Linked DNA regions of Xenopus tropicalis. The main gene of each other region encodes a partner of the protein of the gene in region 3 in a complex. Links are inferred from orthologs where the notes say so. Each region holds a gene or a part of one and is shown on either strand. Other genes may lie near its edges.

The links. Proteins that work in one complex are often made in the same cells at the same time.
Region 1: the proteins of mapkap1 (region 3) and hras are in contact, whole or in part, in a crystal structure (PDB 7VV8), measured with the Homo sapiens proteins. The link is inferred for Xenopus tropicalis from reciprocal best matches to the Homo sapiens genes MAPKAP1 and HRAS. Residues at the interface, in NP_001006618.1 of Homo sapiens: Glu277, Ser278, Phe280, Ala286, His287, Gly288, Phe289, Ser290, Leu291, Ile292, Gln293, Arg311, Arg312, Lys313; in NP_001123914.1 of Homo sapiens: Gln25, Asp33, Ile36, Glu37, Asp38, Ser39, Tyr40, Arg41, Leu56, Glu63, Tyr64, Met67.
Region 2: mapkap1 (region 3) and rptor share a complex: the UniProt entries of both Homo sapiens proteins name them as parts of the mechanistic target of rapamycin complex. The link is inferred for Xenopus tropicalis from reciprocal best matches to the Homo sapiens genes MAPKAP1 and RPTOR.

Annotation. Positions count from the first base shown.
Region 1 is NC_030680.2:34,309,507-34,313,006, reverse strand, and holds part of hras (GTPase HRas), read left to right. Parts: intron 1-863; exon of another isoform or gene 864-1,819; intron 1,820-1,931; coding exon of another isoform or gene 1,932-1,944; coding exon 1,945-2,055; intron 2,056-3,500. UniProt on the Homo sapiens protein: Involved in the activation of Ras protein signal transduction. Ras proteins bind GDP/GTP and possess intrinsic GTPase activity.
Region 2 is NC_030686.2:26,930,964-26,934,463, reverse strand, and holds part of rptor (regulatory-associated protein of mTOR), read left to right. Parts: intron 1-302; coding exon 303-386; intron 387-1,355; coding exon 1,356-1,466; intron 1,467-1,663; coding exon 1,664-1,738; intron 1,739-2,390; coding exon 2,391-2,456; intron 2,457-3,500. UniProt on the Homo sapiens protein: Component of the mechanistic target of rapamycin complex 1 (mTORC1), an evolutionarily conserved central nutrient sensor that stimulates anabolic reactions and macromolecule biosynthesis to promote cellular biomass generation and growth.
Region 3 is NC_030684.2:27,813,205-27,817,300, reverse strand, and holds the start of mapkap1 (target of rapamycin complex 2 subunit MAPKAP1), read left to right. Parts: upstream 1-1,296; 5' UTR 1,297-1,413; intron 1,414-4,096. UniProt on the Homo sapiens protein: Component of the mechanistic target of rapamycin complex 2 (mTORC2), which transduces signals from growth factors to pathways involved in proliferation, cytoskeletal organization, lipogenesis and anabolic output.

The DNA of each region.
Region 1 (3,500 bases), on a different chromosome or scaffold from region 3:
GGGCTATTGCAGAGACACTGGGTTCACCTTTACGGTGACCCAGATGTCTGTTGCTTATATGTGCCTCCTGGGAGTTGTATGAATCTGGCACACTCCTGACTAACCAGTGAGCGTATGCGGCGACACCGGGTTCATTATTATGGTGACCTGTGCGTCTGCCGTTGGCTCCTTATATATGATCCCCCTCTCTAGACGGCTGAATACGATGTGGCCCACGATGCCCATTCACTTCTGTGGGGTTGGTTGCCTAGCAACGGCGACGCTAGCAGTATGCTAATGTGCTTTAAGTTCCGTACCTTGGTGTTGGTCTATTGTACTAGCGGTTCCTGCCCAGCGCTATGGGAGCAGAGAGTGGTTGGGGCTTTTCATGTTTTGCAACCTTATATTGCTACAAAACGACCAGCTATTGCCATATACTGAGATCCTTTCATTTATGTACCTTTTGGCCCTGGACACATTGTCCTTATATGTCTATACCTATAAACACTTTTGTAATCGTTTTTTCATGTTTTTTTTTGTTTTCCATTTGATTTTGTCACTTTATGTATGTGTTAGTGGTTGCCTAGCAACAAGCTTGGCGCCCTTTTGTGCTTAAAAACGTTTGTACTACACTGAGATGTTGCTGTCCCTGATGAAAGTTCCAGATAGGAACTGAAACGTCGGACTGAATAAAGCCTCACATTTATTCATCTACACCTTTGTGATTTTTCATATGAAAACCCTGCGTGTGCTGTCAATCCTACCCTGAGTATCTATACCTCCTGCACGAGCACCCAGGTATTATCTTGTTCTTATGGTGTGCATATATATATATAATATATTGGATGATGTTTATAAGGTGAAAACAGAGGAGACAAGGGCAGCATTAACAAGCTGTATACCTGCTGCCATGTTTATTGATTATGCTTCTGAAAATAGTTCACTTCACATAGGAAACATTATAGGATCTCTAAACCCGCTGTCTAGAAAGCTCTGAATAGAGCAATGAGCCCTAAATACAACATACACACACAAACTGGCAGATATATAGCATTCTGTCTCATCCCATGGGTATGTAAATTAGTAGCTGCCACTTGTAGCTGGCTGTTTTGCGTGGTTCAGTTAACCAAACAAGACTATTAGGAACCATGTCAATCTATAAGGGTCTGAAGTAGCCCTGGGCTGACATTAGGTGGAACAGTATGGAGCTGATTAGTCCTCTCGGTCTGTTTTAGTGTTTGGTATAAAATAAGCAGAATAGTTCAGCAGCAGGAGAACGTCTGGTCCAGTTTCCTCCTCTGAGAGTGTTTGTGAGGAAATGGCCTTTGGAAGGGGTCAGACTGGAGTCTTTGGAGGTTGCTTTGGAGGTGAGGGAACGGCAACTGTGCAGGAAGTTTTTAGTTACAAATCTGTGAAGCATGGCGGTATTTTGTTGCTTTTTCACAGGCAATTTGTTATGTGGTCTCTGGTATGGTTTCTTTTTACAGCTTTTTACCAGGCCCCCAGACATTCCAAATCCAAACTTCTCTTGCTCTAACTGCTACCATCTGTTGTTTTTTTTATTTAGGACATAATGTACAGTTTTCTATTGAATTATGACATCTTTTAAATTATGAAAGAGTAGCATTTATGTCCATTTCCTTGCCACTTTTTTATTGTTCTTTTAAGCCTATAGATTGTGGAATATATAGCTGAAAGCAGGGTTGTCTTTTAAACTTAAATGATACCAGGAAACCTTACCTTCGATTACCTTCCAGAACCGCAAGGCATTGGTCCAAAATAGGAATTCCGACACTCCACTAGGCCCTACTGAAAATCTCCTTTGTGTAAAGGCCTGCAGGTTACCCACACGCTATTATTTATTATATGGCTTCATTTTTGTAACCGCTCTGTACCTGCATCTGTAATGGAATGTCCAGTTTACTTGAAATGTATATGTCTGTCTCTTGCAGAGGGTCTTCAACAATGACGGAGTACAAGCTGGTAGTGGTCGGTGCTGGTGGCGTGGGGAAGAGTGCACTGACAATCCAGCTTATACAGAACCACTTTGTGGACGAGTATGATCCTACCATAGAGGTGAGAGGCTTTCTAGGATAAAGAAATGTAAATATATTAAATTTAATGAAACCAGTCAGAAAGTGTTTATAAATTACCACCATATTCCACAGTGCTGTGCAATTGAAAGGTGTATGCACTGAACATATGGATTACATACAAAACTACAACCTATACAAGAGTTAGGCCAGTGATCCCCAACCAGTGACTCGGGGGCAACATGTTGCTCTCCAGCCCCATGTTGCTCTCAGTTGCCTCAAAGCAGCTGCTTATTTTTTTAATTCCTGGCTTGAAGGCAAGTTTTTGAAGTTTGTGAACTGCCAAACAGAACCACCTGTAGGCTGCCAGTACACATAGGGGCTACCAAATAGCCAATCACAGCCCTTATATGGTACCCCCAGGTACATTTTTCATGCTTTGTGTTGCTCCCCAACCCTTTTTACGTTTGAATAAGGCTCACGGGTAAAAAAAAATATTGGGGATCCCTGACTTTGGCAATCTTAAAATCTTTACTTGTATGATCAGCCTAATGAGAGAGTCTTTGCATGACTTGGCCATCCACATGGCAGGCTGTTTCCTCGTAAGGATCTTTGTTGACACGTGAGCTCCTTAATACAATTGTTGGCTGGAGGGGTGCAAACCATCAGTGACAGACATTTGGTTTACTAGCTTTTTAATAATATTGGGGGGGTTGGATTGTATTTTTCAGGGTGTTCCTAAAAAAATGTGTAGTTTTAAAGTGAAAGTCAAATATAACATTTTGTAAATGGGCAGGAAACCTTTATTCTAAGCAACTTTCCAATATATATTAATTTCAAATATTTGTTGATTTGAAATTATTTGTAAATGTAATTTTATTGAAAGCAATATCTGCGAGGGTAGGGCTGATCATTGTAACATTACTTAAGGGGGTTGTTCACTATTAACTTAACTTTTAGCATAATGTAGAGAGTGCAATTCTGCGAATTTGCAATTGGTCTTCATTTTTTCTATTTGTAGTTTTTTAGTTATTTAGCAGCTATCTTGCTTGGGTCCAAATTACCCTAGCAACCAGGCTTTGATTTGATAGAGAGACTGGCCTGAATAGAAAGATAAGTAACAAAAAGTAAACATGACAATAAAACCTTAGTCTCACAGAGCAATAGTTTTTGGCTGACCACCATTTGAAAGCTGAAAAGAAGCAGAAGAAGGTTGCTTAGAATAAGCCGTTTTATAACATTCTAAACGTAAACAACCTCTTTAAGTGGTACTTGTTGTCAAAACTGTCAGTGCAGCAAATGGCAACACTTAAATTCTGCTTACAATACCAGTTACTTTACAATCAAAATAAATGTAAACTAATTTAACATGTTTCAATTATATGTAATCTTTTGAAATTTAATGTTCAAGCTCTCGATTGACAAGCTATAGATTTAGTGTAACCCCAACAACAGAACTGGTTTGCAGGGTGTTTTTCAGGCCCAAAA
Region 2 (3,500 bases), on a different chromosome or scaffold from region 3:
GTCAATATGTCCGGTTAAACTGGAGTTACCATTATGTATATTTCTTATAACAAGGCCCACCATCCTTCTAAACATTAATTCTCAATGTCATCCTCAAAGAAGTTTAAGTTTAAAAAATGGCAAAGCACACTAAATTTTTTACAAGCACTAAGATAAATAACAAAAATACCTTTTTTTGGCAAACCCTAGCCACAGGTCTAAATCACCAGCCAGCTTCAGGTCTTCTTTATGGTGGTGGCTAACTGGTAGGATCTTAATTGTCTTATGAAACTCATTGCTCTTGCTTTCTGATCCCATTCTAGGTTTTGCTGAGCCAGGTTCATAGACTCCGTGCCTTGGACCTCTTGGGAAGATTCTTGGATCTGGGTCCCTGGGCTGTCAGTCTGGTACATATTCTCTGTGCAGTCGGTTATGATTACTATGGAAGGTTGTGGGTTAACTAATAATTCAATTTCTTTTATTTGTGCTTATACGTGGTTAAAAAGTATGTGTGATCTTCAATATTTTGATCTACTAAGAGTGATAATTACATTTTAGATGTCTCATTTTCACAGTCATTCAATAGCAGGGGTGGATTTAGCCTTTAAACTCACTGGGATTCCCTTCATGTCTCGTTAAATTCAGTGTGCATCCGGCATGCATGTGCTCGCTTTGACCTCACTGAGTGAATAAATCTGGCATCTCTTCTGTTCTTCAAGGATTAGTAGAGCTAAGTAGTAGGACTTAGCAGGGTGCTCTCTGCTGAGCTCTTTTGATGACTGAAACAAAGCAGCACTTCTACTGGGCCATTGTTGTAGAGCCTCTTGGCCTTTTAGCACCTTATGTGAGCAGTTAAAAGGATTTGATTCTGTCAGGCCACTAATGTGAGAAACCATAATTGTTCTTGCTGGCAGATAATAGAGCTTTACACGTTTTGGTTACATAACTATACTTAGTGCACTTTTCTTACCACCTTCAACATCTTGTTATGACTGTGCAGCAGCAATCATAGTTGGGGAGCCCATGTGTATGCAGACCTCCATTAGGCCGAATAGCTTCAAGTCACCTAAGCTAATTACAATTAGTTTCCCCTGTTTTCAGGTACAGTGCAGTTAATGCTTTCCTAATGGCTGGCACAATGGTTACTAGTACATGTGGTAAATATGCCAATCCGGCCTTGTATTTTGAGATGTGAAACATATAAACTTTATTTGCAAAAAGTTACAGGTAGAGGAACAGGTGAGAGATGCACAATTGCTACATGATAATCACCGCCCCTTACAGTTCAATACATTAGCTTAAAAACCCAATTAACAGATTTGTATATTTTGTGTTACATGTGTCTTTAATATCATTGATATCCCTTTTTCGTACAGGCCCTTTCTGTTGGTATTTTCCCTTATGTGCTAAAGCTGCTCCAAAGCTCAGCTCGGGAACTCCGGCCACTGCTTGTCTTTATTTGGGCCAAGATCCTTGCTGTTGATAGTGTAAGTAGTAGATACCAAATAGCCATTCATGTGGTAAGGGAATGTCAGTAGTATATGTATAACAGTATATGTGTGTTGGATTTTGAAACAGTACAAACTAACTAGAATTTAAAACCAAGAAGCTTTATTTTGTAATAAAACTGTTTAGCAATGTGAACAGCTTTTCTAACTTGGTTCCCTTTTGTGTTCTTTCCTAGTCGTGCCAAGCAGACTTAGTAAAAGATAATGGCCATAAATATTTTCTTTCTGTTCTGGCGGATCCATATATGCCGGTAAGATCAATGCGCATTTCCAGTACACATACTGATTTTAGATAGTATAGGCACAGTAAAGTTTGGAATGTTTTTGCTCTTTAGTAAGCTAATCTGTGCTAAGGGCTGTATCTAAAATGCCCTAAACATTTGGAAGGTTTCCCATCCACTTTATTTAAGAAACATTTTGTACATACATCAGTCTTTTTTTTTTTATGCTTTTGTTTCTGAAAGCATTTCATACTATGCATAATATTTTAATATGCGTTATGACCCCATATGTATTTAAAGTTCTGCCTTTTTGAATAGAGACTATTGATACATCTTATTTAAAAACAATAATCTGCTCTATGTAAATAGTAAGAATCATGCTCAAGAACCAAAGGCTTATTTACTAATGGGCATACGGTGCCAAATTAGTAAATGCCCACAATTCTCAAGGCAGGCATTAAATACATTACTCCCATGCTCCCCTGACCATTGAACTCTTGCACCATCACAACTGGTGTAAAGTGCACAGCACACTTAACACTTGTGTTTATCCCTTGCAAAGTATATGGTGCTCTAAAGGGCATTATTTTGACAGCACTTGCACCGACCAGTTCATAAATGAGCCCTTGTATTGAATTGTAAACGGACTAAGTATTCAATCATGCATTTTTGTCTTTACCAGGCTGAGCACCGTACAATGACCTCCTTCATTTTAGCAGTAATTGTTAACAATTATAACACTGGCCAGGTGAGTATATATTACATAAAGTTAGTCACTGGTAACAGTGTTGAATTGAGGCTCAGTTGTAATTAATTAAAGGTAATTAAATGAATAAATGTAGGTACTTATGTGTTTGGTGCACCTTTTGTGTAGGTGAAGACAAAAAGGAACACCAAGAGCCCCAATAGTGTAAATTGTTTTTACAAGGAGTAATGGTAGAGTAAACAAATTAATACTCACAAGCCAGGGTTACCAATAGGCAACCACTGTATAGGCAGGTGGGGAGATTATCCTGACCCCACTCAGGAATAAGAAGTCGCTCTCTGTAGAAGGAAGAAAAATGGGGATGACACCCCTCCACTCGGGGTGGACTCGGTATAATGATAAAACAAAACAGAGGCGCCTAAAGGATAAAATTAGCTAAAAACACTTAAAAACCCAATGGGTAATTCAGAGGAGGTAGTAATGAACTTACCTCCTCCAAGCAGACACCAACAAAAGTGGTAATTTTCAATAATAATTTATTCACAACAATATTGCACTGTTGGTTTTTGCTCCTATTCTACATTGCCTGATGAAGCAGGAAATGCCTGCGAAACGCGTTGCCAACAGCCACAGGCACCGTGAATAGATGATAATAATATCTTGCATCCCCTGTAATACAGGTATGGATACCTTATACGGAAATCTAGAAATCTCCGAATTACAGGAAGGTCATCATCCATTTTAAGCAAATAATTTTACATTTTCAAGAATTAGTTCCCTTTTTTGTAATAATGAGACAATACCTTCTACTGAAACTTGCATCAATCCATATTAGCGACAAATTCATCCTGTTGTTTAATTAATGCTAAAATGTTTTCTTAGTAAACTTAAGGCATGGTAATCCAAATTACAGAAAGATCCCTTATCCTGAAACCCCCAGTTCCCAAGCATGTCTGATAATACCTGTATGGTTTGTGCTGGTTTAAGGCAATGCTGTGCAGTTCCTTGTAGTAAAACATTGGGCAGTGACAGCTGTTTTTATAGATGGAATTAACTACTTATGTAAGAGTTCCGTTTGTATGCATG
Region 3 (4,096 bases):
GGGGCCCAAGCTAAAAAAAACTGTATCATGGCAGGGCCCCCTTTAAAGCGAGAATTGTCAAGGCCCGGGACAACTGCCCCCCTGTGGCCCCCTGATGGCGGCCCACTCACTGTCACTGACTCTTCTATTCTTCTACTATTCTGAGCCTCCATAGGACTCAATTGTACTTGACAGATCAAACCTGCCGATTTTTTTTAGTTAAAAAAGTTAACTAAACATGAATAAATCACGAATTATGGGAGTTATTTTTGAAAAACTAAAATTTTTCATGGAACAATAGAGAAAAAATCGAGTTCTGCCGAAAACCCATTCATAAATCTCGAAATTATCTATAAGTAAGAAAAAATTAGACTTTTTGTAAAAATTGCTTAGTAAATGTGCCCCTATTTTTCCCAAACAGGAATCGCTCCAGCAGCCATTTTAGGAGCATTGTCGTCATTCTTAGAAAACAATAATGTGTTCAAATTTCATTTGAAACTAGGTGAAATAGAAAAAAATTATGAGATTAACTTCCCCTTGTTAAGATGTGAAATAGAAAAAAAAAACAGGGTATAAACTTCCCCTTGAAAGGCATAAAAAATAAGGGGATTAACTTTCCCTTTAAAACAGGGGATTAGCTTCTCACTGAAACTGAGTAAGGTTCCGAGCATTATGGATAACAGGTCCCATAAATATATAAAATTATTTTTTTCTAAAGAGAATCATTTTTAGTGTTTAGTTCTCCTTTATTAATTATTTATTCATAATATCAAATATATTTCATTAATTTATTGTACATGCTCATATTTATATATATATATATATATATTAATAAATTAATGAAATATATTTGATATTATGAATAAATAATTGAACAATGGGGTAAAAATAAAATGAATTTATATTAATTGAAATGAGGTGGGTACATATTAATCACATTATGTAAAGCATTAATAGTACATTGATTTCCCTTGAAATAAAAAAAAATGATCGATATTAAAACAATAAATAACCATTTGACCAAATAAAGAAATAAAAAAAATAGACTGTATTTCAATGAATTCAATTTATTTGATTTGCTTAAATAAAGTTTTCTTTTACATGCCATTATTAGATATACACTTTAAAACTATCAATAAAATATAAAGGTTACTTAATAAAAGCCATTCATTTATGTTATACAGTCACTTACTATAAAGAAATAGTGATGTTCTGCAGTGCTATCGATATTTGGCGTTTTTAATAAAGCTTGTTGAAAAAAAATTCTTTCAAGCGGTGTCAGGCACGCATGCGCATTTGGAACACAGACGCGCTCGATGACGTCATCCGTCAGAATGGCCGCCGGGAGACAGGCTAAACGGCGAGAGACATAATAAGACGGTGCGGGTTGTAGGAACAAGTAGAGGGAGCGGAACATATGCGGTTATGGTTGGGGTAAGGCGCCCTTGGCATTAGATATAATATAAAAGTTAGGGTTGACATCGCCTTTATAGTAAACAATACTCGATTGAAACAGGAATCAGCCTCTGTTTATTTTCTGTCAAACAGTTGTGACATTAGAACTTGAACATTGAATGTGCAGAACTTCCCCGCTTATAAACATGTATACGTATCCATGGCAACTGCCTTATTGCTGGCTTTGAATTAGGAAGTCTCTACAGAGTTCATCAGAACAGAGCAGTCTATTTAGGTACACTGTGCTGTCTCTCTGGGCTCTGATGGGAGCAGCTCAGCCTAAACATTCTATTTACAAATACAAATGGCGGGCTGGGATTATTTACTGCATTCAGTCAGCTATAATAATATACATCGCTTTTTGGTTTTAGAGAGAATAAATGGAATCAGTATTTATATGGTATGGTAGATACCATTTAATATACAGTATTAAAGGGGAAGAATACCTTCCAAAAATATGTCTGTTGTAAGTGCCTCGCCCCCCCCCCCCCCCCACCGAACTACTGCTTATATTTATATGAATATGTTTGGGATAAGAATACCCACTTGTTCAGCATGAGTGCAATAAATAGGGCTTGTACTAAACAATTTTTTGCCTATTAGTTAAATAACTAAAAAATCTTTGGGCTTTGTTATTGCAAAATTGCAAAATTGAAGCTCCTCCATAGTGTGTAAGTATAAACACTGCTGCACGTACAGTCGCATTGAAATAGGCGCAAATGTTGGGCTTATTGATGCCGTATATACTGTATATACTCAAGTATTAGCCGAGTTTTTCAGCACCCAAAATGTGCTGAAAAAGTCACCCTTGGGTCAGGTGAAATATACGCATTTTTGGACATACAAAAGTCTGACCTGCCAGCGATTCCCGCTCCCGCGAGGCTACCTAATAGTGCGCTCTTCTGCGCACCTGGGCGGAAGTGACATCACGTGCCCCCTGCTTGCCCACTTCTCTCCTGGGACCCCCTGCCAGCAATTCCCTCTCCCTCCAACCCCACCAGCCCCACTAATAGTGCGCTCTTCTGCCCGCCTGGGCGGAAGTGACATCACTTTCCCCTGCAGTTAAAGGAACAGTAACACTAAAAAAATGAAAGCTTTAGGGCTCTGGCACACGGGGAGATTAGTCGCCCGAGACAAATCTCCCTTGTCACGGGCGACTAATCTCCCCGAGTTGCCATGACCCGCCATCCCACCGGCGAACATGTAAGTCACCGGCGGGATGGGACACGCGGCGGCGCGATTTCCTGAAATCGCCGAAAAAGACTCGCGAGGCTTTTTCACCGATTTCGGGAAATCGCGCCGCCGCGTGTGCCATCCCGCCGGCGACTCACATGTTCGCTGGTGGGATGGCGGGTCATGACAACTCAGGGAGATTAGTCGCCCGCGAACATGGAGTTTTGTCGCGGGCGACTAATTTCCCCATGTGCCAGAGCTCTTAAAGTAATAAAAATATAATGCACTGTTGCCCTGCACTGGTAAAACTGGTGTGTTTGCTACAGTAACACTACTATAATTTATATAATAAGCTGCTGTGTAGCCACGGGGGCAGCCATTCAAGCTGGAAAAAAGGAGAAAAGGCACAGGTTACATAGCAGATAACAGATAAGTTCTGTAGAATACAATAGTGTTTTATCTGTTATCTGCTATGTGCCTGTGCCTTTTCTCCTTTGAATGGCTGCCTCCATGGCTACATAGCAGCTTATTTATATAAATTATAGTAGACTTTCTGAAGTAAACACACAACTTTTACCAGTGCAGGGCAGCAGCACATTATATTTTAGTTACTTTTATACACTTTCATTTTTTGGTGTTACTGTTCCTTTAATCTAAGCCCTGCAGTTTCAAGGTACTAGTTATCCCTAGATATGTATAGATCCTTATTATAGTTAATCAAAATTGATCGAAGTTAAACTCGTGTGTTTAACTTCAATCAATCAATAATTACCTATAATTAGTACCTAAGTATAGTATTTACCAATACAGGTATGGGATCCCTTATCCGGAAACCCATTATCCAGAAAGCTCCGAATTACGGAAAGCCTGTCTCCCATAGACTCCATTTTAATCAAATAGTTCAGAATTTTAAAACTGATTCCCTTTTCTCTGTAATAATAAAACAGTACCTTGTAATTAATCCCAACTAAGATATAATTAATCCTTACTGGATACAAAACAATCCTATTGGATTAATTAATGTTTTATTGATTTAATATAGACTTAAGGTATGGAGATACAAATTACAGAAAGACCCCTTATCTGGAATACCCTTGGTCCCAAGCATTCTGGATAACAGGTCCTATACTTGTATTGGCAATACTGATCAGGTATATCCATATCATGTGATCAGCATTGCAAATACAGGTGAATACTGTTAATTATTTATTTATTTTAAGTTGAACACATACAGTAAATAATATACAGTATACGCTCAGCCTCAATTAATGTAATTTTACTGGTATTTGTTTTGATTATTGAAACTTAGCAGTAGCTGCTGCATTTCCCACCCTAGGCTTATACTAGAGTCAGTAAGTTTTTCCAGTTTTCTGATGTAAAATTAGGTACCTGGGCTTATATTCAGATCGGCTTGTACTCAAGTTTATACGGTACTTGTTTCTCCTTGTACTTCTGTATATTTGCACCATGCAGTTTTGGGTCCATCCTG